Saccharomyces cerevisiae S288C: one gene and its partners. Changing the gene in region 1 together with any one later gene gives a genetic interaction. Each region holds a gene or a part of one and is shown in the gene's direction. Other genes may lie near its edges.

Region 1 (7,119 bases):
CATCAATGAAAAAGAGATTACTCATTGGTCTGGGGACTTCTGAATCTAAATCGCAATTTAAGTCATGATATTTTAGTGATTGAGACCTAGCTGGCGGCGGAAGAGGGGGGCTATTGAGTACAGCCGTATACTGTGGGCTCGCATAGTGCGGCTGCTGTGAATGAGAGGAATCAATAAGTTGAAACGGAGTTCTTAGTATGCTACTAGTGTCATCATCATCATCTTCACCATCATCATCGGTGATTGCAAGGGCTTGTGATTGCGCATCAGAAACGCTTGGAGTTATTACAATCTTAGCCGGTGTTTGAAGAATCTGCGAATGAGGATGATTGGGAGGATGGGATTCTGATTTGGTTTCATACAAAGAACTTTGCAGGGAGACCTGCCTTTCTGAATCATTGGATACTAAGCCGTTAGAATTGTTCCCTCCTGTCCCAGAATCACTTTCAGCGTCACTTGCACTATCATCAACATTAAATATATCTGAAAACGACTTTACTGTAGGCTTGGTAGAGCCAGTAGTACCTGTAAGGGAAGCCTTTATTGCAGAAGTGTGCTCCGTTTCATCATCCGAATTATTCCTTTTGAGAGAGAAACTATAGTTCGGCTTTCCATCACGTATGATATTTTTGTTAGATTGACTATAGATCCCCCGTGTTGATTTTGCATTTGCTGGTCCACTTTCTATACTAGGAGCTTCATCGGAAAACATATAAGACTCAGCTTCTGACATCTCTTTGTCGTCGTTATCGTCCTCATCAGACAAATCGAAAAGGTCATTGTATTTTTGAATAGGCTTCTTGACATTATCGTTTATTAGAAACTGCTCTTTGTTGTCAACCGTTTCTCCAAGAGATGCATCATCATGGTGTCCGCCATGGTTACCATTAAAAGTTTCTTTCCCGTTTTCTAATCGTTTTTGATAAAGATTATCACTCTCATTTTCATCTCCATTGTTACTGTTATCTTTACCATCCTCCTCCTCATCATCATCGCTCAAGTTAAAAAGATCATTGAACTTTTTGACTTTATTGCTTTTCAAGGATGTTTCTTCGAATCGAGTCGATAAACCGCATATTTCGTTTCCCTCATTACCACTCTCATCATCTTCTATACAATTCATATCGTCATCAAAGTTCTCATCCTCATATAGATCGTCTATGTATACATTTGCCGCCGGTTCCGGTTTGGAGTAATACTTTACAGATGATGTCCTTACGTTTATGCCGGCATATTCAAACGAAAATTCCGACTCATCATCATCATCATCGTCATCATCATCGTCATCATAATCATCATCATGATCATTATCGCCATCACCGTTTTCAGAAGATTCGTCATTACAATCGTTGGCTTTATGGGTTTCTTTTTCATTGACAGAGTATTCATCGGAATTGTTGTTGAGGGAATACACCTTTTCTTCTTCTTTTCTATTAAGACTAATCCTTACTTTTTTCTTGTTCAAGGTCTCGTTTTGACTATCGTTTTTGTTCACTTTTGAAGGTGATGATTGTAAGTCGCCGTGTCGTATCTTTGGTGAGAGGGAAAGTGTTTGACTATAAAAACAAGGTGACTTGTTTATTGGTGATGTGGTTTCGGAAGAGGTTAAAGTGGAAGTAGTGGTCACTCTTTCGATGTCTAATATTTTCTCATCGGTTTGTTCATTAGAAGATTGGTCATTATTAATGGTGGTGGTTGAATTTCCGGAAAACGCAGCGGCTAGTAGACTCATATCCATTTGAGAAGCCTTTCCCAAATTTATTATATCATCATGAGAATGAATTCTTGCTTGTCTGTTTCTATTTTTGGCAAGCGCTAATGCTTTATAAACATGATGTTCCTTCTTAGATGACCCGTCCTCAGCATCGTCGATATTTTCCTGCTGTTTACCCTTGTTCTTGTTCAATATTCTTATGGCAGGTTCCAGGTTAGATGGTGATGTAGTTGAAGTTAGATTTTCATTGCCAATGATAGGGGTTTTGAATTGTTTAGAAGAAGTCGCTTCAGATGTGTTTGATGCTGGGGAAGCAGGATCGTTTAATATTATTACGTGCGATTCGACCTTGGAATCTCCCCACGAATGAGTAATTGTGCCCTTAATAGCAGGCAGAGAGTCTGTGGTTCTATTAAAATCTTTTGCAGGAGAAGTTTTTTTATATGCAGTATATTCACTTTCATTGTCATGACGTGAAAAGGAAGAGGTAGAAGAGGAAGGAAAGAGCGGCGGTGGTAATGGCGGCGGAGGTCCAGTATTTTTTGTGGGTGGATTTTGGAGAACAAATGAATTTGAAGTAGTCTGATTTGTGCTTGTGGTTGGAGTTGAAGCTAAATGCGAGTTTAAGTTTGAGTTTGAAGTTTTCTTGAACAACTTTGAAGTCTTGTTAGCCAAACGATGGAAAGACTCAAATCCAGGTGAGTGTTTCGCGGGTGGTGGAATGCTATCGTAATTCATTTGTGATGGTGTAGATGGTAGAAAGTCTAAGGAGTCATCACTTGACCTTTGAGAACTATTATTAGTATTGCCACTGAAGTTGCTATGTCGCTTGGGGCTTTCATCAAACGACGTGGACTTCTTATGGGCTTTTATGAAAGACCGCATGATGAAATATTCCAGTTATGCGTGTGCGTCTTGTGATGCAGATCCTTTTGGGCAAAAACAGTTGGTTTGTGCGAAAACGCAAGGTAATAAATAGGCTTAAAGGAACTAAAAAAAAAAAAAGGAAAATAACCAGCTAAGATTTAAGGTACAAGAAAGCGGTTGCACCTCAAGTAATGATAGTTATTAAACCTTGGATTGGACCAGATGTTTAAAATTGTTTTCAATAGTAGATTTGCAGTCGTAAATGCGTTCTCAGCAATATCATATTGTGTTTATGAAGTATTACCAAACGGGTAGAAGAACGGTTTAAGAGAATATGTCCGGATAAAGCGATCAGGAGAAAAGCTTAAAACCCAAAGTGGTCAATCTGCAGCCCATTTAGGCACTCTGCATTTAACCGATACCCGGATTGAAGAAAGCTGGCGGGTGTATGGGTGAAGGAGAAGAAAGGAAGTGATTAGGAGAAACCTCATGGAGATGAGCACATGCTACAACTAATAACGTTATTCTACTTAAAACGAGCAAAACAAAAAAAAAAACAAGACAATTGAAAACGCAATGGATGCATTCAGCTTAAAGAAGGATAATCGAAAAAAATTTCAAGATAAACAGAAATTGAAAAGAAAACATGCCACACCCAGTGATAGAAAGTACCGGCTATTGAACCGCCAAAAAGAAGAGAAAGCTACCACAGAGGAGAAAGATCAAGACCAAGAACAGCCCGCCCTGAAGTCAAACGAGGACAGGTACTATGAGGACCCGGTACTCGAGGACCCGCATTCTGCAGTCGCCAATGCAGAGTTGAACAAGGTGCTAAAAGACGTCCTCAAAAATCGGCTCCAGCAGAACGACGACGCCACAGCCGTCAATAATGTTGCTAATAAAGATACTTTGAAAATCAAAGACCTCAAGCAGATGAATACGGATGAGCTCAATCGTTGGCTCGGACGGCAGAATACAACATCGGCTATAACAGCGGCTGAGCCCGAATCATTAGTCGTTCCCATTCACGTACAAGGTGATCATGATCGTGCGGGCAAGAAGATCAGTGCCCCTTCGACCGATCTACCGGAAGAACTAGAGACCGATCAGGATTTCCTTGATGGACTGCTCTAATCGCGCGGTACGACAGTTACTGCGTGAAAAGATTATCAGCGCCCCTTTTTTTCTTCTTTGTTCTTAACGTTTCTTTTTCTTGCGGCTTATGCCCGTACTTATAAAACAACGGCCTCCCGTGCCCTATTACCTTCCTGATAGACCGGACAATAACGTCACTACATACAAAGTTATACACTAACAGAAACTCAAACACAAACGTTTTTATAATAGTCAAAATTAAATATCTCTCATAATGGGTTCCGAGACAAAACATTCTGCAAAAGTCAAGATTGTCACAAGGGAAAGTCCTCCTTCCGCCAAGGAGCACATGCGCCCCACTAAAACTCAAATATTAGTTCCACCGACGCAGAGTTTGCCCAATGGCAAGAAACCAAACTTCGGTAAGTCTACAAAACAGCGGCGAGAACCTAGGGAACGCACCTCGAAGACGGGACACGAGGACGATAAGGCAACGATGGTCACTGTTAACATAGATGCCTTCCTACATGATAAGGCCCCTAAAAAAAAATCGTGCAAATACAAGAAGAAGAAAACGAGACAGTACCAGGATAGGGCGGCGGCGTCGATCGATTCGAAACCGCACGTAGCTGGTCATACGGCCTTTGCCGGTGCTTCGTTCACAACAGATATCCCACATGAGGCAGCGCTACCCAAACCTAGTTTTGTTTGAGTAGCTGTGATTGTAAATTTTTTTATTTCTACTTGAGCGGGCGGGCTCTCATTTTTTTTTTTGGGGTTTTATTTAGGTCGGATTATTCATAAAGATGGCATTTATATACATTTTTACGCAATTACCCTCATATTCTTACACATACGGAGAAGTCATTGTTATATCTTCTTGCCTTCACATTGTTATCGGTGATTTTCTTTCTTTATTGATTGATTAGTTATATAAATTATTGCTATTAAAATACATAAAAGGGGAAGTAAAAACGTGCACGGCGCAGATCAACTTCACAATTACAAAACAACGTTCTTGGCCAATTTGTTCTTATATTGCAAAATGGATCCGTCCCATCTGGTAGCGGTCTTGTTTTCCACAACGAAAATATCTTGGGCAATTTTGTCTAATAATCTGAAATCATGCGAAACGACGACGACACCACCGTTAAATTCGTTGATGGCGTCGGCCAAGGAGTCGATGGTTGGGATATCCAAACCATTGGTAGGTTCATCTAATAGTAGGACATTTGGTTGTTCTAAAGCTAATAAAGCAAAGACGACACGAGAACGTTGACCTTCTGACAAGGTAGCCATTTGAACGGTTTGACCTTCCCCGGTTAGCCCGTAGCGACCTAGTTGGCCTCTCCAGAATTGGAAATCTTGTGAGATGTTAGAGTACTTGTCACGGACAAATTCTAAAGCAGATTTTGTCAAGTCCAGTTGATCTTGAGAGTGTTGCGAGTAGACACCCAACTTGACATGGGTATGTCTAGAAACACGGCCAGATTGTGGGGTCAATTCACCGGTCATAATCTTCAACAATGTGGATTTACCAACACCATTTGGTCCGACAAGGGCAATACGTGAGTCCATATCGACACCAAAGTTCAAATGTTCGTACAAGTTTTCGGATGGGTTGCTCTCATAATGAAATGAAATATCATCGAATGCTAAAACTGGTGGTGGCAATCTTTCCACTTGTGGGAATCTAAATGAGAAAACTTTGTCAGGGACGACAGGTTGGACTAAACCATCTGCTTCCATCTTGTCCAAAATTTTTTGTCTAGATTTAGCTTGTTTCACCAAGTTAGCATAAGTACCAGCAGATGCAATGAATTTTTTAATATGTTGGATTTCCTCTTGTTGTTTATTGTATTGTTTCATTTGATTGGTTTCCAATTCGGATCTTGTCTTGTGATAAGAATCATAGTTACCACCGTAAGCAGTTAGTTTTTGAGCTCTCATGTCAATCATATTGGTACAAACACCGTTCAAGAAATCTTGAGAGTGGGACACCAAAACTAAAGTTCTGTCAAATCTCTTCAAATATTCTTCTAACCAAACACAAGCTTCCAAATCCAGATGCGCAGTAGGATCATCCAACAATAATAGAGTTGGCTTAACGAAAAGAGCTTTTGCCAACGCAACACGCATTTTCCATCCACCAGACATATCTTTGGTTTTCTTCAAAATGGTCTTCTTGTTGAAACCTAGACCGATCAAAATGATAGCAGCTCTAGATTCAAAGGTGTCTGGATCCAAAGAGTCCATTCTTTCATATAGAGGCTCTAATAACTCGGACTCAGGACCATCTTCCAAGATAGTCTTTTCGACTAAGTCTTCTATTCTTTTCAATTCGTGTTGAGCTTCAGTGACAACGTAGTCCAAGGCCGACAATTCACTTGGTTCCGCAGGTTCGTCCAATAAATAAATATCAATATGCTCAGGAATAGGATATTCTCTAGTAGCAAGAGCCTTTAAGAATGTTGACTTACCACAACCATTTTCTCCCAGAAGACCATATCTACGGCCGTAGTTTAATTCTAAACCAGAATCTTGGATCAAAACTTTACCGTGGAACAGTAAAGAAACAGAAGATAGCTTGATATCACGGGAAGTCTCCAATGAACTCAAAACACCAGTGACAACACGATCTGAAAGACCATCCTTATCTTGTTGCAACTTCATCATCTTGATTTCTCTAGCGGCTGCATCTACCTCCGATTCTTCAGCAGCAGCCTCCTTTTTTCTACCTAGCTTTCTGATGGTTTTACCGGCAGCGGCTTTCTTAGCCTCTCTTTCAGCTTTCTTAGCATCTCTCTTGGCCTTTGACGCAGATACTGGTGGCATATTTGGTTCTGTCAAGTTACTGTTTGTAGCACTGAGGGGAAGAAAACAATTTTTGCAAGAAAAAAGTTAAGAAAGAAGAAGAAAAACTACACGGGCACTAACATGTTAAATATGATAATATTTTTTTTTATAAGAGAATCACTACCAAGTTACCTGAACTACGTCAAGGAAAAGCCATTAATTGAGATGAGGTGAACGAAGAAAAAAAAAAAGAAAAAAATTTTTATTTTTTTTTCCATCGGTCTCCCCCCTCACCTTTCTTTTTTCATTCGTTTAAAGTGAGATTAGGGTAATGCATTTCGTATTTAGTGAGTAAACGTCAAAGGTGATATAGGGGGTTTTTCTTTTTCCAGAAAAAGAAAGAAAAAAGCCGGCGGTCGCCGCCGGAGATGGTTGAGAAAAAAAGGGGGCAGCAACGTGCTTCACATACAAACCAAGTTCTTGGATCTGTACGATCGTTTCTGCGGGTTTTTCCGTATTTGCCGCAATACTGAAATGGCTCATTATTAGGAGATGTGCATATAATGTATATACATACATTTAGCATATGTAATACATTCGTACATGTATAGAAATATATGTTTATATATATATATATATATATATGT
Region 2 (7,489 bases), on another chromosome or scaffold:
TTGATCGTATTGCACTATCCAAACTCTTCAACGAGCTCTCAGCACCTGGTCTTTGCGTCATTAAAGAAGATGACACGGGTGTGCCTGGATGCGATTCAAAAGTATAGTTTTCTTTAGGCTTGGAAATTATGGGAGCACCCTTGGCAGTATATGGAATATCTGGCTGTCTCGAGTAGCAGAGATATGGCATTACGGCTGTAACCCTCGAGGCAGAAGCGGACTTGCAGGCACTGATTAAAATCAGCAACTGCATGAACGTGTCGTTCACCTGGCCACAACCACTCTGGATGATATATACATCCTTTTCACGAACAGATTCGCGAAGAGCAATGTTCGTTTCCCCATTAGAAAACTTCCCTAATTCTACTTTCGATGGGTGAATGTCCAAATTTTCACAGATCTTAGTAACTAACTCGGGGTGCGAGTCCCCTCCAAAAACAACAATATTACTCATTGACATCCAGACTGCGTTCCTAGCCTCGTAGCAACCTCCAACAAAGTCACTTTCGACCAACTTACTCTCATCTCATCCAGCCCTTCTCGCTAATCGTAGCCATTTATTATTTGATAGAAAATTTTTTTCAACTGCGGTCGAAGGGTAACAGCCATATTTTCCTTAATTGATTAGTATAGGAGAACTTGATGATAAAGTGTGGAAACCTTTCATAAACGGTTGGAGAAAAGAATCACATAGAGTTATGGTGAGCAATGATTAGTGGTGTGCTGGTATACTCATCGAGAGGTGAACTTGTCTTGAACAAGTTCTTCAAGAACTCGTTGAAGCGGTCCATATCCGATATCTTCCGAGTACAAGTGATCAATAATCTAGATGTTAGATCGCCTGTTTTGACACTGGGCTCAACTACTTTCCATCACATCAGGTCGAGGCATGGTGACAATTTGTGGTTGGTAACCATTACGAGAAGCAACGCTAATAGTGCGGCGATCTGGGAGTTCTTATATAAGCTTGATGCAGTGATGAATGCTTATCGATTGGATAGAGAGGAGGCCTTGAAAGAGGAATTCATGATTGTGCATGAGATGCTGGATATAATGTTGGGTGGAAATGGGATACCAATTGACACTGAATTGAACTCTGTTATAGCGCAGATGTCTGTGAAACCCGTTAGAAATATGGGCGGATTGTTAGATAGTCCCGATGGAAATGATGTATTATCTTCCTCTTCATCTCCTACTTCTTCAGCAGGAGAACTACATTTTCCCAAATTTTTGACAAAAAGAAGCAGTAGTTTCCTGGGTCAAGGAGACTCCACTTCTGATTTCTATGATAACAATAAGATCACTTGGAGGCCCAAGGGGATAATACACAAGAAGGATGAAGTTTTCTTGTATGTCAATGAGAGGATAAACATTCTGGTATCTAGGGATGGTTCTATCTTGAAATCATACGTTGATGGCACCATAGATATCACCACACACTTGAGTGGGACCCCTATTTGTAGATTTGGATTGAATGATTCTTTGGGAATGCAGTCCGAAGACGAGAAGAAATGGTTAGCACAGCAGCAGCGTCACTCTGGCAGCGATTTTGGAAACAAGAACTTCATTCCCAAAGCTGCTGCCGGTAGTGTTTTGTTGGAAGATTGCAAGTTTCACGAATGTGTCTCACTTGACAAATTTAACAGAAATCATATCATTGAATTCGTCCCACCAGACGGTTCGATGGAGTTGATGAAATATCATGTACGAGATAACATAAACCTGCCGTTCAAGGTTACACCTATTGTTACACATTCTACAAGAGATAACGAGATTGATTACAGGATAACATTGAAGTCTTTATTTCCTGGAAAACTTTCCGCCAAAGATGTGGTACTACATATACCCGTTCCACCAAGCACTGTGGATTGTAAGATAAGTGTCTCTAATGGCCACTGTAAGTTTGTGCCAGAAGAAAATGCAATGATTTGGAGGTTCAACAAGTACAATGGGTTGACGGAAAACACTTTAAGTGCAGTTACTGTGTCCACAAGTGATACTACTCAATTGAATCTTCAACAATGGACAAGACCTCCAATATCCCTGGAATTCGAGGTCATGATGTTCAGTAATTCTGGCTTAGTCGTACGATACTTTACCATTTCTGGAAAAGACAGTAAGCATCGTGCTGTAAAATGGATTAAATATATATCGAAAGCCGGTTCTTACGAGGTGAGGTACTAGCCCGTAATTTTTGTGTACATATATTTTTATCATGCCTGTATTTTTTATAGTAATTTCCTTTAGAATGCACATTTTGTTAATATTGAATATTTTCTATTATGAGAGACATGCAATTTAGTTTTTCATTGAAAAGAAAACAGGGAAAAAACATGGAAAAACCATACAAGACACCAAAAACACCATAGTAATGAAGATCAACAGCGCAATCAAGAGGCACTGGTACTTCTAGGCTTGAAAATTTGGTTTTGAATATAATGCCCCCTCAGATTCCCAATGAAAATGATGATCTCTTTACAAGGTGGCTTAAGTCTCGGGCCATCATACAAAGGGCAGTATCGACAAGAGAGTGCTTTGACTCAGAAGTATTTCTGGCGTCTGGTGGCTGGAATATAACGAATGAGATAATAACGTTAAAGAAATATTATCAACTCAAGTGGCCAAACTCCAGTTGCAATTCGTTTCATCCAAAAACCGTGGAGTTTATTAAAGAACGATTACACAACCTAGAAGAACATGACTCTTCATGGAAAATCCCAAATCCTGCTTACTCATTCAAGAAAGCCTTCTTGGAGGATACTAAATCTGCATTTTCCAACTTAGAACCCGTCTGGGGACCATCAAGGCTTTTGAATCCAGCTGAATTACTATTGCCACAGGACGAAAAACTACTTGTTCAAGAGATACCACTAGAGTTCGCACCTTTTCAATACACAAATAGGTTTGCTTATGGTGGTTTGCAGTTCAAGAACAATTTGTTCGTCACTTATGGGAGTTATTCCTTCCTGGCTGCCGGTCAATGCGTCGAAGTTCATAATTTCGATATACTATTGAACGTTTCGTCATTAGAAATATGTCACGCCTTATTGCCCGTGATAATACCAGATGACGGAGATGTAAGAAACTTCCGCAATTCATCATATGTGAAATTTAAGGATACACAGTTCAACAGCATACCTGAACTATGTTCTATCAACTTTATGAAGATTTGTAACTTCATGCATCAAGATTTTCTACTAGCTTGCGGTGACAACGGAATCGTTTATATCTGGGAAATCAACAAAGTTATTAAGATATTTAATAAATTTACTTCGGATATCTTGGGAGGCAAAGATAACAGCCGGGAAAGATACATAAATGTTGATCCATATATGGTGTTAAGAGTAGAGGAATCTTGTTGGAGTGTTGATGTAATAGATATAAATGGCATCATATATATCGCTGTTGGCCATAACAAGCCTGGAGTTACAGTCTTTGCATTCGATAAAGATGTAAAGAAGGAAAGACGGTACATTCGGCCTCTAGATCTTCCCTCATCTCACAATGTTCCTTGTGTTAACTTTGTTCCTAATTCAAAAGATTCTGTTGGATATATTACATTAAGTTATTGTTCTATATTTGGGAATGTTGTTACCGTTAAATTAAAGGAGCATGATTGTACCATTTTAACGAGTTTCCTTGATACTCAATTTTTTGGCGACGACTTATGGACAATAACTCCACTGACTAAGAAGGATTTTGCGAAAGTTGACAATTTCGAATTGTTGAATCTTAACTACCAAGACGGTTTCAAAGAAAGCATGTTATATTCTATTTGCCGAGATGATTTTTTACTTGGGTATTACTGTGATAACGCCTACCTCTCTGGGAATTTCGGTATTGGTACATTACTCAATCAATTTCAGGTTCCTGTCACAGACCTACGACTGACTTCTTCAGCAGGGATCCCCGATGAAGTTATACCATTAAGATTTACCTCATTTGATAGAAATTACACTACAACGGGCTCGATAAAATACGAGTACAGCAGAGAGGATTTTGCACTTATTTTACATGCCGGTGACTTAGACGATATGAATGATGCAGTGACAAAAAACACCTCATGTGAACAGCATTTACACCAATGGACATTTTGGGAGGATTCTGGTTATAAACATTATCGTGCTACTGAGCGTGGATTTTCGAAATACAAGGATATTATTAATACTTTTCCACAGTTGATAACTCCTAGTGGAAGAAATAAAACATCGCAATATCAAAACACTTCTGGGAGAAAGATCTGTGAGCCGTCTACTTATAAACTTACTGATCTCGAAAATGATATTGAAGATATATCTCGCGAATTTAATAGAAGTATTCGTAATTTGAAAATGGATAAACAAAGACAACTACGAACTTCAAAAGAGTTCAAATCGCTAAGTTCAGTAAATCATATACCAAATATTGAATCGGGAAACTTTTTATGGTACAACACCGATGCCGCTGCCGATTGGAGAACACTTTTTGGCAAGGATTTGAACACGGTCTTGAAGGACCCAGAAATTTGTAGCCTTCAACTGAACTCTACAGAAGAGGACGATGTCAATAGCGACCCTGAAAATGAAGAATCTGGTAGCAGCTTAACAAGTTTCCAGCGAAGATATAGGGATACTGAACAGCGTGCTCACTTGAAATCAGAATCGCAGAAATCTTGGGGGTTCCACAACTATGTAAGAAACGTCAAGCGGTTATTAGAGTCAGCAGTACCGGGCTCAGAAGATTCGCCTCTTGGGTATCAACTATCCGAAATGCACGACGAGTTCTTCTTCCTAACCACAGCCCATAGGCTGGTGTTGATGAAAGCAAATCCACTCATAATTATATCAGCAACTCATCATGAGATTTTTCCCTTAGATGGTGTTGTGACGTGTGCTTCCAAGTCGCTGCTCCAAGCACTAAACAGAATAAATTTTGTGTGTCACATCAAAGAACTAAATTGCATAGCCGTGGCTTCACAATTGGGTCTCATTTCATTACTAAGACTAACAGAGTACAGAGGCATCTATTCGTTTAGACAAGAGTATATTCTTGGATGGGAAGTCCAAGACCCTGTTAACCCTAGTCCAGAGTGCAGATGTAACAGGAACTTGTTTGACGCACCAATGTATGGTGCAGATGGAGAGAGCTCGGACACATACTGCGGCGTGTGCGACGTCTATTTCCCCATGGGTGATATTTGCGGACTAGATTACACTTATGCATCTGACAGTGAAGAGTTAAAACGTAAGGGATATGCTACCTTATACGTAGCATCAAGAGGCTCCTTGAGGGCATTCAAGATCACAACTGAGCATGGAACAACTCAACAATAGCATATTTTGACATTTACATAGCCATCTATATAATAATCCTTCCTTCATTGAAATGCGCGAATGACTCAGACGAGCAATATCACGTGTTGCGATTTTACTTTCAGTTTGCAAAGAAGAAACCATGCCACATATAAAGAACGTTTGCACTTCTCTTTAATTTATTAGTTAGTAAGTAAGAAGTTTAAAGACAACTCAGAAGACATCAGCACTTTACTATGGCATTGGAAAGAGAATTATTGGTTGCAACTCAAGCTGTACGAAAGGCGTCTTTATTGACTAAGAGAATTCAATCTGAAGTGATTTCTCACAAGGACTCCACTACTATTACCAAGAATGATAATTCTCCAGTAACCACAGGTGATTATGCTGCACAAACGATCATCATAAATGCTATCAAGAGCAATTTTCCTGATGATAAGGTAGTTGGTGAAGAATCCTCATCAGGATTGAGCGACGCATTCGTCTCAGGAATTTTAAACGAAATAAAAGCCAATGACGAAGTTTATAACAAGAATTATAAAAAGGATGATTTTCTGTTTACAAACGATCAGTTTCCGCTAAAATCTTTGGAGGACGTCAGGCAAATCATCGATTTCGGCAATTACGAAGGTGGTAGAAAAGGAAGATTTTGGTGTTTGGATCCTATTGACGGAACCAAGGGGTTTTTAAGAGGTGAACAGTTTGCAGTATGTCTGGCCTTAATTGTGGACGGTGTTGTTCAGCTTGGTTGTATTGGATGCCCCAACTTAGTTTTAAGTTCTTATGGGGCCCAAGATTTGAAAGGCCATGAGTCATTTGGTTATATCTTTCGTGCTGTTAGAGGTTTAGGTGCCTTCTATTCTCCATCTTCAGATGCAGAGTCATGGACCAAAATCCACGTTAGACACTTAAAAGACACTAAAGACATGATTACTTTAGAGGGAGTTGAAAAGGGACACTCCTCTCATGATGAACAAACTGCTATCAAAAACAAACTAAATATATCCAAATCTTTGCACTTGGATTCTCAAGCCAAGTACTGTTTGTTAGCATTGGGCTTAGCAGACGTATATTTACGTCTGCCTATCAAACTTTCTTACCAAGAAAAGATCTGGGACCATGCTGCAGGCAACGTTATTGTCCATGAAGCTGGAGGTATCCATACAGATGCCATGGAAGATGTTCCTCTAGACTTCGGTAACGGTAGAACGCTAGCTACGAAGGGAGTTATAGCGTCAAGTGGCCCACGCGAGTTACATGACTTGGTGGTGTCTACATCATGCGATGTCATTCAGTCAAGAAACGCCTAAATAACATATATTTTACTTTATTGATAGACATAAATATATGAGTACATATATATATGTGTGTATGTGTATGTACATACCAGTTAAATGATAACCTTTTTTTATTGTTGTTATAGCGTGAAAAAAGGAAAATACAGTGAAAAGAACAAAACTGAAGAGGTAAGAGTAGGCTAACAAAGAAGAAAAGTGAGACAAGAAAATACAGCAGGATTCTGACCGAATGAACAAAACGAATTGGAAGGTATCTGTAACTACATTCAATTGTGGTAAGGAATTTCCCGTTGAAAATTCGAAAGCAATCGTTAAGCAATTGCTTTTCCCCTACGATGACGGCATCTCCCAATTGGAATTGCAAGATCTATATGTGTTGGGGTTCCAAGAAGTAGTCCCCATATGGCAAGGCTCCTTCCCTGCTGTTAATCGTGATTTAATCGATAGAATTACAACTACTGCGGTTAATTGTCTGAATGAAAAAGTGTCAGCTACACAAGGGGATGAGCAGTATTCATGTTTAGGGGTGAATAGTCTTGGGGCGATTACCATAATAGTATTATACAATAATAATGCGCTAAAGGTAAAAGATGATATTTTGAAACGGAATGGGAAATGCGGTTGGTTTGGTACACACTTGAAAGGTGGAACTTTGATAAGTTTTCAGATGACACGCAATGGCGAGGAGAACTGGGAAAGATTTAGCTATATTTGTGCTCATTTAAATGCAAATGAAGGTGTCAACAATAGAAATCAAAGAATAGATGATTACAAACGAATAATGAGTGAAGTGTGTGATTCTGAGGTTGCAAAAAGCGACCACTTTTTCTTTCTAGGCGATTTGAATTTTAGGGTTACTAGTACTTATGATCCAACTACCAATTATTCGTCCACCACAAC
Region 3 (7,730 bases), on another chromosome or scaffold:
ATCTTCAGACACAGATTCCTTGTCTAATAATTTGTTTAATTGAATATTGACAGATTTATCCTGCAGCTTGAACAAATTTCTTGCGCGAAAGGTTGCTAGGAAAATCAAAGGTAGTAAAAACATTAGAACTGTATCGAAAACGTAAAGGCACCATTCGTGCTGACCTATATAGCTTTGTAAGCCCATTAGAAATTGTACTACTCTGACAATGGTTCTACCATTAACCAGCAATATCCCAGCTAAAAGTATAAAATTGTACTGGAACCATTCATTACTATCCCGCACAATTTTACTAGGCGTTGCCTTCATTTTATAGTGAAGAAAAAGTTGACTGAACGTTAAAAAGGTATAACAAAATATCTGAATGAAAAGACCCACAATAATTAGGATACGCCCAGTATTCCTGCTGTTCCATGAGGATAACAACCCACCTCCTACAGCCTGTAGGACACGCCCAATCATATCTGCCACTACGAAAGAAACTGTACTAAATTTCGCAGGAATTAACATATATGCCTCCATAAGAATTAGACGTGCCATTTTGCTGAACAACATAAAAATACTAAGGGCGTAAAGTGAAGGTGCTATCAATAGAAGCACCGATTGAGCAATGAAAGTCGAAATCGAGGGGCTATTGATAAAGACTATTTTCAACACATAACCCACGAACTCTAAACAAATCCCTAAAACGAAAGGAAAATGTGTCCACATCAAACCGCGGGCAGGAAAGTATATTATTGTGGAATTTTCCTCTGACAACTCATTGTTTTCCCAGCGATGAATACGTCTCTTGCTCGTGTGTGTTGCCATTATGATCTGCACCAAGGCAGAAAGGATTAAAATGCCAAACAGAACGACAAATGCAATCGCTGCACCTTTGTGAGGATTGTATGCATAAAAACCTTCATAATCAGTGATTGCTTTAGTAAAAAAATTCCTATTGAGGCAGTTGAGTTCTTTTATCGACAATAAGTCTCTAGTACAGTAGTGAGAGTGTCATGTATTCAGTACCAAGAAGAACTTATATGCCTTTTATAATTCATCTTATAAGTTGCTAGACATACAAATAATCAATATGGAAATGTGCTTATTCCCGCTAATATCCATTAATATCCGCTGTCATTTTTCGCAACTATCACCAAGTGGAGAGAGGCTTGACAACCACCAGAAAAAAACTAAATCAGCCTGCGGAACTTTTCTCGGAAAAAATCAGTTAGAAAAGATCGTACATAGGGCCCTTTTTTGACAGTAAGATTAAAGAGCAAAACGGGACATTATAGATATGCCACCATCAAATACGTGAATTTTCCAAGCCTCATAAACTAATAGCCAACTTGCAACTCTTATAATGCAAAACTTTCTCCGTGAAAGTGTAAACCACCATCTGTCGCCCATCTTTTGGTGCTTTCAATTAAGCCTCTAGGGCCTGCAGCGAGAACCCATACTTGTGACAAATATTCAGCATGGTCTCTGCCTTGATTCGCCCACCTGCAACATTGAATAGAATCCGTCTCTGCATCACATTCGGTTTGCAGACACCATTCATAATCCTTATCTCCAAGTGTAGGCCTGCCAAAGAACACTTTAACACCTGCGGGAATTCTGATCTTTTTAGGCGCCGCCTCTAAACAAGGATCTTGGGCAGGTGGCTCAATGATCTTTGGTTGTCTGAAAACGCTCGATCCGTTAAACGAAGAATGTGTAGTTAGAGTTCCTTGTGCAGTATTTTTCCTTGATTTGGATCTGCTAAAAGCATATGTAAAATCTATCTCGTCATCAGCATTGATGTCAGGTATATCACTTGTTTTTGGTGGGTGATGGTTTCTCAAGGTAGATTTCTTACTTAGAAGGGCTGTGTTCTCATTGGGCTCCGTAGGTTGGGGATTTCCATCTGATAACATGGAATTATCTCCCAGTTCTGAAACTCGGCCGCTCGAAGAAATACTCCTGACTTCATCATTAATATCAGCAGCGCAGTCATGATAGTCAATATAATCAATTTCTATGTCCTGTTCGTTGCCTTCGGTGCCACTAATATATATCTCCATACCTTCAAAATTGTTTTTGAAGTGGTTCAATACTTCCAGATCCTTATAATCTCTAGAAACCCAAAGGAGCCTAACGTTTACACCGTTGAAGTTTAGAATACGAAGTAGTGGTAAGCCAAAGGAAATTCCTGAACCTCCAACACACATAAACACTCTTTGCGCTTTAATTAGAAAATTTAAAGGCGAATTTATTAGTGCAGAAGAATTGTTTCGAAATGGATTCTTGGAAGATTTCGTGGTAATATTAAAAGGAACAGTAGGTTTAGAAATGAAACTCAACTCAGGTTCAAAAGCCCCTGTAATGTAATACTTTTCATTTGTACGCAATGGAAAATGCCCGTTTCTAATAATTAACCTGACCAAATTATCACTTGGAATACTAGCAATAGTAAAAGGATGTTGGAAGGGTATCAAATGGGAGAAAAACCTCCTTAAAAAATTTCTATGGTAAATGTTGATCCTTAGATGCCCTCCTGGTAGGATGGGCTTTTTGGGTAAATCGGTTAATGGGAACTCCAAAAGAGACAATGATGAAGAAATGGGTACTATCGTAACTCTCGTAACATTGGTGATATGGAGCCTATAGACGATTTGTCCCGTTAATATGAGCACATTTAAAGTGGTATAATATGAAATTCCTGGGCGAGCGTGATAATGTAGAAACACCAAAATAAGCCATGTGCTTACATAGTGAACATAGTAAAAAACTCTGTAGCTCCATCGTCTGGCATATCTCACAGAGGTGATGGCAATCAGTAGGAAAAGGCCGAGGGCAATAACCCCATAAATGTTGGGTAGTTTTCTCATTTTCACGTATAACGTATCATTAATGTACATGTAATAGAGATAGAACCACGTGTGTAGAATAGATTCAAGCACAACAATTCTGGAAATCCATTTGTGGAGAGGTAACAATGCTAAGTATAACGTGTGAGGTAACGGTGATGGCCTCAACGTTAGAAATAGTAAAGGTGGCATCAAAGCAACGGAAATTCTCCCCATTCGCTTAGTAATTTCTAACAGATCTCCGTTAGCGCCTTGTATAACAAAAAACGAGGTGAAAACAAAGCATATTAAACATAGTTGTAGTGACTGTTTGTGATACATATGTGTTTTGTGAACCCATGATCTTCTGTTGAAAACATGATGCTTTAAATGGTGACATATTTTGAAGAATTTGTCAGTTAGCAACAAATAATTCATTAAGGGTATAATAACACATATTATAATGAAAGAAATTAAAAGACATATCTGAGAATATTTGCGGACTCTTAAAGTTCTAAAATGCTTGTCCACGTCGACATCAAAACTGGGAAGATGTTCCTTGAACCAGCTAACGATGGACTTTAAATTCATGCTGAAAATAACAATAAATAAAATACAGTAAACTTTTTTAGCGGAACTTCTATTGTAATTTAACGATTTAATCTGAAGAGATGTAGATGTAATAAAACTGTTAAAGTGGCAACGTGATAATTAAAAGCTTGGCAAAAATAAGAGATCAACACTAGCTTTTTCTTTTTCCACCTAAATTTGAAGGGAAATAAAAAAGAAATTGAGGCTGTACAGAGTGTTAATCTTCCATAACGGATACCACCAAACGTTTTTACCCTAAACTTAAATTTTATTACTTATTTTACATGCATAATGGCTGCCATGCGTAGTTCATACATGTTATTTGCACCCTTTTTCTTTTTCAATAACAAAAAAGAGCTTGGGCATTACGTTTTCAACACTTTTAATATTTCCCTTTTTACATCCGTACATATAAAATGTAAACCCATGCATTCATGACAATTTTACCTATTTCTTAAAGGCCTTTGTCACTTCTTTATGGGAATGGCGCTACTTTAATTTTCCGCCTACTTTGAAAAATTTACCAAGGCGAAATTGAGTGCGCTAGGCGGAAGTTCCAGGGCACGGTCACCGAACCTTTGTGCTGTTTCGAACGAGGGTCCCGCTGGAGGTTGACGGACGCGGGAGGAGCTGGAAAGATGGAATGGAAGGACTGCAACACTCAGTAAGAAGGTTCGTGGTAGGGAACATCACCTTCTCTAGTTCCTGTAAAAATAATATGATCAAGTTTGAATCCTCGTATTGAAAAATCGCGAGTTATTAAGTGTGTAATTTAGAATACCGAAATAGCACAAGAAGAGATAAGATAAGATACTGATAGGATAATGTCTTTACCAGCTACTTTTGATTTGACTCCAGAGGATGCCCAACTTTTGTTGGCCGCTAACACCCATTTAGGTGCTAGAAACGTTCAAGTATGTACACATATCCCATACGATTATGTTCTATAGATGATAATAGGTCTCGAAAAGAATATGTCCCCGATTTAATCATATTTGGAGGTCAGAGGACCAAAGGTAATTTCAGAGGAATTTTGAACACGCCGGGTTTAGAAGAGTTAGAATTTCACTTCTTAGTGAGGGTAAGGAGAAGAAACTCAATAAGAATATACATCCTCGACTGTGTCAAAGATTATGAACTCCGATGAAACAGTAAAACGTCAAAAAATTCCACGGGATATAATTCGGTACTTTATTGGATATGGAAGAAAACATTATATATGCACAAATGAACGCTCTTACTAACATAATTTATCTTTCCTCTCTTTTTTTAGGTCCACCAAGAACCATACGTTTTCAATGCTAGACCAGATGGTGTTCACGTTATCAATGTTGGTAAGACCTGGGAAAAGTTGGTTTTGGCTGCTAGAATTATTGCTGCCATTCCAAACCCAGAAGATGTTGTTGCCATCTCTTCCAGAACCTACGGTCAAAGAGCTGTCTTGAAATTTGCTGCTCACACTGGTGCTACTCCAATCGCCGGTAGATTCACTCCAGGTTCTTTCACTAATTACATCACCCGTTCTTTCAAGGAACCAAGATTGGTTATTGTTACCGACCCAAGATTAGACGCTCAGGCCATTAAGGAAGCTTCTTACGTTAACATTCCAGTCATTGCTTTGACTGATTTGGACTCCCCATCTGAATTTGTTGATGTCGCCATCCCATGTAACAACAGAGGTAAGCACTCCATCGGTTTAATCTGGTACTTGTTGGCTAGAGAAGTTTTGAGACTAAGAGGTGCTTTGGTCGACAGAACTCAACCATGGTCCATCATGCCAGATTTGTACTTCTACAGAAACCCAGAAGAAGTTGAGCAAGTTGCTGAAGAAGCTGCTGCCGCTGAAGAAGGTGAAGAAGAAGAAGTTAAGGAAGAAGTCACTGAAGGTCAAGCTGAAGCTACTGAATGGGCTGAAGAAAATGCAGACAACGTTGAATGGTAATCATTTGAAAACCTTGCAATGTGTGTGAATATTGTAAGGAATTGAGAAAGAGAGATAAAAAAAGAGACAGAAGTATCACTTCCTTTTCTAATTTTTCTTTTTCATTTTTTTTTTAAATTCATCTATCGTTTATCTTTATCTCATATATATTTGCTTCTCTCTGAAGCGTCATCATCTATCTGTATTTTTAATGCAATCATAGTATAAAAATTTTTAACCAAATTCAAAAATTATAATATTTTAAAAGTTTATGCTTTTGTCCTTTTATATTCAAGTCATTTGGCCATTATTACGCTTTTTTTTTTATTAGGTAAGTGGTTTCAATAATTAAATTCTTTAGCGGGAAGGCTGACTATCTATAGTATTGAAGATAAGTTAAATTAATGTTTAGTTCTGATATTTCATTTTTATTATTAATTAAATTTGCACTATTCGCCATGACGGGTTCACCCGAGTATTTATTTTGCTTTCGTTATACATATATATATATATATATTCTTCCAGGAGAAATACCTGCCTTCTCTCTTACCCCTTGCTCAATCTAAATCAATCCGTGACCTTAAATCTTCTAGCAGAATGACTAAGTCACAATCGATTTTAGAAATTTGAATAACCAGCTCAGAGATATTACTGACAAAAAACTTGTAATGGCACTGTTTTAGCAAGTTTAAGATAAATGTATCCATTAAGAAAGCATTGATTTTATTCGGACCATAATAGGTAGTCACTATTAGAATATCTAAAAGTTCTAGACCAATACCATCTAATTTGTGCTTATTCAATGCGTTGGTCATAAAATTTCTTATTACAGGCTTGATGAAATCCATTATCACATTTAATTTCAACTTGTCCTTTAAATGGTAGTATAAGTTAGGAAAGTCCTGATAGAACTTCCCCTCAGTAACCGTGTAAGAATTCTTGTTGTCCTTATTGTCATCGAAACGACTATTCAACCAGGTAACGTTTTTCGTCAAATTGATGAAAATAGACCGGGATAGAGTTTCCTGCTCTTCGTTGTTACAACATTTCCTTATTGCTAGATACAATGAGTTGTTCGCATACTGACTGAAAAATCCGGCTTCGTCTAGTTCGCTATAGTGATATAAACATCTCTTGTATATTGGAAGACGAAAATCGTTCGGTATCCCAAACCAATATAAGTTATGCTTACTTATCACCAACAGCAGGTCCGTCTCATCGCCAGATGTATGACAACTTCTCAAATTGCTCCAAAACTTTTCCAATTTTAGTTCTCTTCGAAATAAGTTTCTATTTTGAAACTTTAAATTTAAGATGTTCCTCTTTGTTTCCGATTTAATGAGGTTTTGTATGGATGGATCAGTATGAGTGCACAAGGTTTCATCGTTATTATTGGCAATTAATGATAACGATTCTTTTTCACTATTGATTTTCCTTTTATTTTCCTGAATCAAAGAATCTACACTCAAATTTTTTTGTGGTCTAATGACTAATGAAGATGATCCTGATGAGTTCCTGTTGTTGTTTGGAGTAAACAAACCATCAGAAAACACAGAAGACGCAGAAGAAGATGAAGAAGAGTACATCGTTGATCTGTGATTCGGCGAAGGGGCCACAGGACTCCCCTGAGAGTTTGCTCGAGGAATGGCAAAGTTGTCTATTATGGGGACAGCATAACTAATGAGATTAGTATCTTTATCTATTGTTGTGTCCAGAATTGTTGTCCAATCTGTGGTCCCGGAATGTAGGGCCTCTTCTTTCAAATCGTTTCTTGTTATTCTATGCCTGCTATGGAATAGCCGCTGACTGGGTGGTACGTACTCGTGCATGATATTATTAACCATGAGTTGTAGCTGTTTTGTTATATCCAAAGAATTTGGCTAACGTATCCTTGTACGCGTGATTTATTTATATATACGTGCAGCACAATATATATATATATATATATGTATGCGTGCGCTTGGTTATGGCTCAGTAAAGCGAAAGTAACGGAATAAGCGAGGGAAGGGGGATCTAGCGATGAGGGAATGGCAGTAACAGACTGTTCCCTTACAATACACTCTTGCTAAATTACATCAAGGATAATATACTATTTTAAAACAAAAACCAGCCATTTCCCTAAGGACGCGAAACTTTTGTGACGCGTTTCAAATAAAAAAGAATACTGCAAAACGCAGCACAATAATTAGATAAAACTAGTGGCATATGTCACTAATTAACTATATAGTCACTAATACTGTATATATAGCCGACACAGGCTACACAAAACACAAACGCAAAGGAATTAGGAATGTAGGTAGGTACACCGAGGCTAACTGACACTTCTGGGTCATGGACAAGCTTGTTTTTAGCACATCGTAAGGAATGTAACCACGCTTGAAAATAACAACGATACATATCAAGGT
Region 4 (8,156 bases), on another chromosome or scaffold:
AATGGGGAAGCCAAGCACTCACTTTCTTGCTATCAAGTACTTGAAGTTTCTCGTTCTATTTCCCCGAGGACCACGCGCGGGATACTTACTATTGAGAAATCCTTCGATATGATTGGTTCTCTCCGTAATAAGATCAACCCTTTTAAAATATTTACATTTACAAGAAGATGTTAGAAATATATTAACGATCTATTTTATATGCCTTCTACACCGTTCCACAACTCTTCAAAAGTTAAAAACTTTGACCGAGTTTTGTGTTCCTTTTTGCCCCGAAGCAATTCCTTCTTGTTGATTCTTTCCCAATCCTTCCATGTGGTGTGCTTGATATTAGAGAGGTCGATAGAATTCTCTAAGGATAGCGCTCCGCTGACCACCAAGTCTTGTATTACTCTGTCTCCAACTTCAAAAGCATCTTGCATTGTCGAGGCAATAACGCCCTGGCTGCCCTTACGGATCCAACCAGATGCATATAAATGTGGGAATATTTCTCCGCTGGAAGTTAAAACACGACCCTGTTTATTAGCTATATGATCTTTGTCAAATCCAATAGACAACTTAGAGAATTCAGGCATGGGAACGCCTGCATATCCCAATGAAGTAATCAGCAAATCCACTTTATATGTCATAATATTATTGACGTCCTTCAAGGGTTGCAAACTGTTATCTTCATTTAATCGATTGTTACATAAACTCAAAGAGTTGATTGCACCAAAATCGTCTCTATTAATTTTCAAGGGAGTCTTCAAATAATCTAACTCCCAGAATTTGTCATATCCGCTGCTTGGAGGAGGAGCCTTTTTATAGTTTTTCTTCGAACGTTCATTAAATGGCTTGAGATACTCACTACACATCTCTACTCGTCTATTGAATGCACGATCGTACTTAGATGGGTCAAACATTTCTTTCTGGAAAAATTTAGGATCAATACGGCCACGTATGCCATACTTTTCTAACTCCCATAGTTCTCTTAATTCTTTGTTGGTGAATTTGGAATGAACGAAATCCCTTCGTGCAATTAGCTTAACGTCCTTTACAGGTGCCCTTCTTAGCAAATTTAGTGCAAGAGATGAGATGTCCGTATTTTCCCATATTTCATCAATTTGATTAGAAATAAGTACACGCGTAATATCAAGAGCAACGTTACCGTTTCCTATAATACCAACTTTCGAAACTTTGCTCCAGTCAAAATCGGTAAATCGCTTATCCTTTGCGAAATCAGGATGACCATTGTACCAATTGACAAATTCTCTACTGCTAAACACCCCTTTTGTTCCGAGTTCGCCAGGGATATTCAGCTTTCTGTCCCCTGTACAACCATAACTTAAAATAACAGCATCTTGATTATCCAGCAATTCCTTCAACAATATTTCTTTTCCAATGGTTATACCACCAACAAAGGAAAATTTATGCTTTTGGTTTGTAGGGGAAGAAAACTCTTCTGCACATGTGGTAAACGTTTCTTCACAATTTTTGACTTCTGGATGATCAGGTGCCACACCATATCTACTTAAACCAAAAGGAACAGGTAACTTTTCCCATATAGTAACATTTAATGGAATCGGTGACTTCTTGAGTAAATGGTACGCTGTATAAAAGCCGGAAGGCCCCGATCCAACAATGGATACAGTCTTACGGTTTATTTGTGAAGAAATGTGCCTTATTTGAACAAAGCTCATTTTCACAAGTAATGAGCTAAAAAAGGAAGAAGAAAGAGTGAGAAACTTTCTAAATGAATGAATGAGGCGTTGTGGCCAAGAACTATAGCAAGCAAAAAACTTTCTGTTACGTTCGAGCTATAGTTTACTGCTCTTCGAATTATATCTCGATTGAGTTACCCTTAAAGAGTGCCGAAAAATCGATGTAAATAGTATAAGTAAAGATTTCCACTCTTCTATATTTGCAACGCAGTAGACGTACCAAGGGACGATTTGAAAAAAAATGAAGTGTGCCCTCAATCTACCATGTCGGATAAGCCGATTGACATACAATATGATAAACAGGCTACTCCAAATCTGAGTGGTGTAATTACTCCGCCAACAAATGAAACTGGTAATGACTCAGTCCGGGAAAAACTTTCAAAACTAGTTGGCGATGCTATGTCAAACAATCCCTATTTTGCCGCCGGCGGTGGTCTTATGATCCTTGGTACAGGTTTAGCTGTAGCTAGATCCGGTATAATAAAAGCCAGCAGGGTCCTATACCGACAAATGATTGTCGACTTAGAGATTCAGTCGAAGGACAAATCATACGCCTGGTTTCTAACATGGATGGCCAAACATCCTCAAAGGGTATCTAGACACTTATCCGTTAGGACAAACTACATACAACATGACAATGGATCAGTTAGTACAAAATTTTCGCTGGTTCCGGGTCCGGGAAATCATTGGATTCGTTATAAGGGTGCTTTTATCCTGATTAAAAGAGAAAGGTCCGCAAAAATGATAGATATCGCAAACGGGTCACCATTTGAGACCGTAACCTTAACTACACTGTACCGTGACAAACATTTGTTCGATGACATTTTGAACGAGGCTAAAGACATAGCCCTGAAGACTACTGAGGGCAAGACTGTTATTTACACTTCTTTCGGCCCTGAATGGAGAAAGTTTGGTCAACCAAAAGCTAAAAGGATGCTGCCCTCCGTCATTTTGGACAGTGGCATCAAAGAGGGTATTCTCGATGACGTTTATGATTTTATGAAGAACGGCAAATGGTACTCTGACAGGGGTATCCCATATCGCAGGGGATATTTACTCTATGGCCCTCCCGGATCTGGTAAGACTAGCTTTATCCAGGCTTTAGCGGGCGAATTAGACTACAACATTTGTATTTTAAACCTCTCCGAAAATAATTTAACAGATGACAGATTAAACCACTTAATGAATAACATGCCAGAAAGGAGCATACTATTACTGGAAGATATTGACGCGGCGTTCAACAAAAGAAGTCAAACTGGTGAACAAGGTTTTCATTCTAGCGTAACATTTAGCGGTTTACTGAATGCCCTGGATGGCGTCACATCTTCTGAAGAAACTATTACATTCATGACTACCAATCATCCTGAAAAGCTAGACGCGGCTATAATGAGACCAGGTCGTATTGACTACAAAGTCTTCGTTGGTAACGCAACTCCATACCAGGTAGAAAAAATGTTTATGAAATTTTACCCAGGTGAGACTGATATATGCAAAAAGTTTGTAAATAGTGTTAAAGAATTGGATATCACCGTAAGTACCGCCCAGTTGCAAGGACTTTTCGTTATGAATAAAGATGCACCACACGATGCGTTGAAAATGGTCTCCAGCTTACGGAACGCTAATCATATTTTCTAGGTGCTAAGTGGCGCCTTACTACATAACTTGTATATAATAAAAATTCAGAAGATGCTTTAACTTTTTCTCGTTAATAAGACCGAGTTATTTGCTATTACGAACAAAAGAGTATATGATAAAGAGGCTTAAAAATACCCCTTCATTGACTATCCAGAAAAGCCTGCGTTGCAGCTTCAATATGATAAGGATATACTTCCCTCAAACCTTCTGCAGTTGCCCTTGTTCTAGCATCCAGCAGAATTTTTCTTAAAATGGCCTGAAATCCACATGCCAATAATAATTTCTTGTTATATTCTTGACTAGACTCTTGATCTTCATTTTGCCGTTGGAGAAGATCTTCTAGCTTATTCTCCTCCGCATCTAAACTAAGCTGCCGTAGCAAATAATTGGCCAATGCTTCCGTATCCATGGAAGAATGTTAGGAACTGTTGCTATTGTTGTACTTTGGTTATACGACAGTAAGTAACGTTGACTTGGTGACCGAAAATAGACACGAAATCGCTACCCGTTTCCCCAGAATATCACTCCTCACGATGTACCTCGGCGGCTAATCTTTTTGGTAGCCTTTTGTGATATATATATAAATAAATAAGTATACATACATATATATATATATATATTTATACAGCTACATTGTTTTCCTCCAAAATTTTCTGTTGGTTATGAATCGCAAAAGAAGTTTTCAGATTGTGTCCTCTGTTACTATTTCGTTAAGAAAGGAAGATATCGTCTACGGCTGGTGTGACGTAAGTATTGCGTTGTGCTCTAAAAATGAATCAAATCTGGTCTACAGGTCCCCCAAATTTTTACTTCAACTCTGAATGGAAAGAAAATAAGAGAAATGACAGGACAATTGAAGACTCTTTAAGAGAACTAGATGGGTTGATCCATTCCTTGGAGAGAACTCATATTGAAGTACAAACAAACCCAAAGCTAAAGAACGATGTCACAGCTTTAAATGATATTAACAAGAAAGAAAATAAAGAAGAGATCACTCATGAAAACTATACACACCAGATTAATAGTATTCCATTGACAAGCTCAAATTTAAATCGGCATTTCTCCTTTTCTAGAGACTACAACCAATCTGATAATAGCAATAATAATTATTACAGGGAATATTTATCCAAACCAAGGTATTTGCAGCAGTCAACTAAAGAACAAACTTTCAATGAAATTAATAAAAGAAAAAGTGCTGCAATTATTCCCCCTTGGTTAAATATTCCAGAAAACTCAAGATTTTTTGTAATAAAGTCCTCGTCTTTGAAGCATGTCAAAAGGTCGTTTTACAACGGAATTTGGTCGTCTACTCATTTCGGCAACAAAAGGCTATCTGAGGCATATAAAAAGCTTAATTCGGGAGCCAAAGTGTTTTTATTTTTTTCAATCAACACATCAGGAAGATTCTGTGGCGTTGCAGAAATGGTATCGGATTTGAAAATGGATTTGGACACCAGTATATGGGAAGATGAACAAAAATATGGCAAAGCCTTTAAAGTAAGATGGGTGATCGTGCGTGATATAAATAACAGATCGTTAAAAAGGTTTTTGATACCATCCAATGAAATGAAACCGATAACACATTCCAGAGATACTCAAGAAATTCCATATTCGATTGGAATTTCAATAATTAATCTATTTAAAACTCAAGATTCTGATATTTTCTCCTTCTTGGATGAGACGTATGAATAGACCTTATCCCTCATTTATCAACATTTTATTCTCATTTATTATTAGTATTATTATTATTTTTAATATTATTTTTATTTAAAATTATCCTAAAATTACTTCTACTGTTATAACATCCAATCCATAAGAAGCAAAAACAAAGTTTTCATATTAAGCCATCGTAAAGGTTTAAGGCACCAATAATAGAGGGATCGACTTTAGAACCTTCTCTGAATTCGTCCAGCGTAATGTAACCATCTTCGTTCTTATCCATCAACTTGAAGATCTTCTTTACCCTCATTTCGGGCGTTGCCTCATCCTCATTAAGTGTAACCATAGACCCCATCATTTTATAAACACTCGCCACAATGGTTAGCATTTCATCAAATGTAATATATCCATCATGGTTCAAATCATAAAGTTCGAAAGCCCAGCTCAGTTTTTCCTCCAAAGTTCCTCTGGACGTTGTACTCAAAACTGTGATAAACTCTTCAAAATGTATGAATCCATTGTTGTCTTTATCAAAAACTGTAAAAAGGTGATTAGCAAAATCTTCAGGAGAACCAAATGGAAAAAACTGTTTGTATATCTTAACAAAATCTTCCCTAGCTAGTTGGCCACTAGGGCAATCCCTCAAAAATCCTTTATGCCATTGCTGGATTTCTCTTCTATCAAAATAGGTGGATTGTTTCAAACATGTCAGGTCATCTTTGGAAAGCTTTGACGTCTTGGCTCCCATTTTTTTTTTGAATCAAAAACAGTTTTCAAGCACAAAATAACTCTCGCCGATTCTTAAACTAGCAACAATTATAAAACAGGAGGTAATATCCCTAGTTCATCAGTTCAATCGTTGACAAATTAAACATTATTTCAGTACTCTATGGTATAATAATAAAAAATACACCGAAGAGTTACCCTTTTTTCGTTTTTAATGATCAATTCTGGCTCATTTTTTTACTTCCTGAGCAGTCAACTACTACTGAAAAAAAGAGGCTAATGGGTACGCATTTACCTAAAAACAATTAGATCCCTGCCTTGGATCGTAATCTTGTTTATCTATCCTTTTTGGACATTGACATCTATTTGTGTCGCAGTTAATTGCTTTCTGGGTACGTTGACTTTTTCAGTTCTATATCGGCCCGTTGCTTACTCTGTTCAACTCACTTATTCTTTTGTTTCGGTTTGGGCTGCTGCATTTATAGATTAAAAATAAATTTCAAATTTCCACGCTAACAAATAGAGCTAAATTAGCAGTTTCATTGTTGGCTATATTTTCATTACAACTTTTGATCTGATAACGTAAAAGAATTCAAACAAAAACTATCTAAAAAAATACAAAGCAAAAATCATGTCTACTTTACAACGTCGTAGAGTCAATAGGGCGGATTCTGGAGATACTTCCTCCATTCATTCTTCTGCTAACAATACCAAAGGAGACAAAATCGCAAATATTGCTGTTGACGGGGATGATGACAATGGAACAAACAAAAAGATTGCATATGACCCAGAAGAATCGAAATTGAGAGACAACATCAATATCCCTACGTTAACGTTGATGGAAGAAGTCTTATTGATGGGCTTAAGAGATAGAGAAGGATATTTGTCGTTTTGGAATGATAGTATTTCATATGCTTTGCGTGGTTGTATAATTATAGAATTAGCGTTAAGAGGTAAAATCAGAATCTTAGATGATTCCGCCAGGAAAAGGTTCGATCTTTCCGAAAGGTTGATTGAAGTTATTGACAGTTCCAAAACTGGGGAAGTTTTACTGGATGAAACTTTGCAATTGATGAAAAACGACGAACCTTTGTCAATTTCTAACTGGATTGATCTTTTAAGTGGTGAAACATGGAACCTTTTAAAGATCAACTATCAATTGAAACAAGTAAGGGAAAGATTGGCAAAAGGTTTGGTCGATAAAGGTGTATTGAGAACAGAAATGAAAAATTTCTTTTTGTTTGACATGGCGACACACCCCATTGCAGACGCCAGCTGCAAAGAAGCCATTAAGCGCAGAGTACTTTCTGTACTCGTATCGAGGAACATGGAATTAAGTTACAATGAATATTTTCCGGAGACAACATCTTTCAAAATCATTAGAACTTTAGCTTTAATATGTGGATCATATGGGGCAAACGTATTGGAGAATGTCCTGACTACGTTGGAATATGAGAAGAGAGATAAGGCAATTAGTAGAGCTGAAGAAATAATGGCACAATTTTCGCAATACCCATTTGATTTAGAAAAGGAAACTGAGTTAGGTGTCTCCGTTAATTTAAACAAGGAAGTTAAAGAAGAGATAGAAAACAATCCTGGTCATGATTTACAATTGGAAGTTATTGCTGGTGTATTTGAAGTCTTTTCAAGAATGGATATGCTATTATGAAAATAACAACAAAAATCCTCTCTTTGAAACATAAGGAAAAGTCAAGCTTTTTTTTATAAGCCTCTAACATTAATAAACGAAATTTGTATATATGTATATACATATACGGAGTGGATAATAAATAGACCAAACTTTTTGTTATTATATACGCCCACATTCGTATTCATTGCTTTCTTGAATCCAAATGCTTTAAATATGGAGATAAAAATCCGCCATCGCCATATTTATTCAAGTAATATTTTTTAACTCTCACATCTTGAAATATTGATGGTTTTGATGACACATTAAAGTGCAAGCCTTCATTAAATGCGTTTATCAACGACCTTGACTCATTTGCATAAGCTTCACCACATGACTCCCACCAAAAGCCTCCGCCTAAATTGTTATGTGTCACATATTCAGCCTTAGTTTTGACTGATTTAGTGTTATCATAACTGATAAATATTGAATTTTTTTCATCAAAGCAATATGCTGAAACATATTTTGGATCGTATTGTTCTATTGTACCAATCTTTGGTAAATTTTTGTAAGGCCAGATGCCCTCCTTGCCATCAGCTTTATCTATTTCTTTAGTGGGCTTGCCCACTCCTTTGAAAATTTTGTTAATTAATACAGTATTTTGATTGAATGGTTCGAATTTGTTATCTTTGATATGGAAACTTCTTCCGTAGGCGGCCATTCCCAGTACTAATTTTCTAGAATTGACGCCAAATCTATCGATCATATAATGCATGGCAAAGTTTCCATTCAATTCCGTCTCACTGAATAGA

The links.
Region 2: mutations in EDC2 (region 1) and MET22 together harm fitness more than expected from each alone (negative genetic interaction), as found in Saccharomyces cerevisiae (2 studies listed by BioGRID).
Region 3: mutations in EDC2 (region 1) and RPS0B together harm fitness more than expected from each alone (negative genetic interaction), as found in Saccharomyces cerevisiae (2 studies listed by BioGRID).
Region 4: mutations in EDC2 (region 1) and BCS1 impair growth when combined (synthetic growth defect), as found in Saccharomyces cerevisiae (2 studies listed by BioGRID, with this or other methods).

What each region holds. Positions count from the first base shown.
Region 1 is NC_001137.3:218,689-225,807, forward strand, and holds EDC2 (Edc2p), read left to right. Parts: upstream 1-3,950; coding exon 3,951-4,388; downstream 4,389-7,119. Other genes in the region: ZRG8 (Zrg8p), read right to left, coding at 1-2,599; YER034W (uncharacterized protein), read left to right, coding at 3,158-3,715; ATP-binding cassette family ATPase ARB1, read right to left, coding at 4,679-6,511. UniProt on the Saccharomyces cerevisiae protein: mRNA-binding protein which stimulates mRNA decapping by DCP1 and DCP2.
Region 2 is NC_001147.6:205,215-212,703, reverse strand, and holds MET22 (3'(2'),5'-bisphosphate nucleotidase), read left to right. Parts: upstream 1-5,527; coding exon 5,528-6,601; downstream 6,602-7,489. Other genes in the region: ribose phosphate diphosphokinase subunit PRS5, read right to left, coding at 1-460; APM4 (Apm4p), read left to right, coding at 709-2,184; CRT10 (Crt10p), read left to right, coding at 2,439-5,312; phosphoinositide 5-phosphatase INP54, read left to right, coding at 6,819-7,489. UniProt on the Saccharomyces cerevisiae protein: Phosphatase that converts adenosine 3'-phosphate 5'-phosphosulfate (PAPS) to adenosine 5'-phosphosulfate (APS) and 3'(2')-phosphoadenosine 5'-phosphate (PAP) to AMP. May regulate the flux of sulfur in the sulfur-activation pathway by converting PAPS to APS.
Region 3 is NC_001144.5:238,004-245,733, forward strand, and holds RPS0B (40S ribosomal protein uS2 RPS0B), read left to right. Parts: upstream 1-4,228; coding exon 4,229-4,318; intron 4,319-4,677; coding exon 4,678-5,346; downstream 5,347-7,730. Other genes in the region: YLR046C (uncharacterized protein), read right to left, coding at 1-810; FRE8 (putative ferric-chelate reductase), read right to left, coding at 1,344-3,404; MLO50 (Mlo50p), read right to left, coding at 5,883-7,169; EMA19 (Ema19p), read right to left, coding at 7,584-7,730.
Region 4 is NC_001136.10:1,220,342-1,228,497, reverse strand, and holds BCS1 (bifunctional AAA family ATPase chaperone/translocase BCS1), read left to right. Parts: upstream 1-1,961; coding exon 1,962-3,332; downstream 3,333-8,156. Other genes in the region: ARH1 (NADPH-adrenodoxin reductase), read right to left, coding at 195-1,676; WIP1 (Wip1p), read right to left, coding at 3,472-3,741; PHO92 (mRNA-binding phosphate metabolism regulator), read left to right, coding at 4,104-5,024; FRQ1 (frequenin), read right to left, coding at 5,167-5,739; VPS74 (Vps74p), read left to right, coding at 6,349-7,386; CTS2 (putative chitinase), read right to left, coding at 7,550-8,156.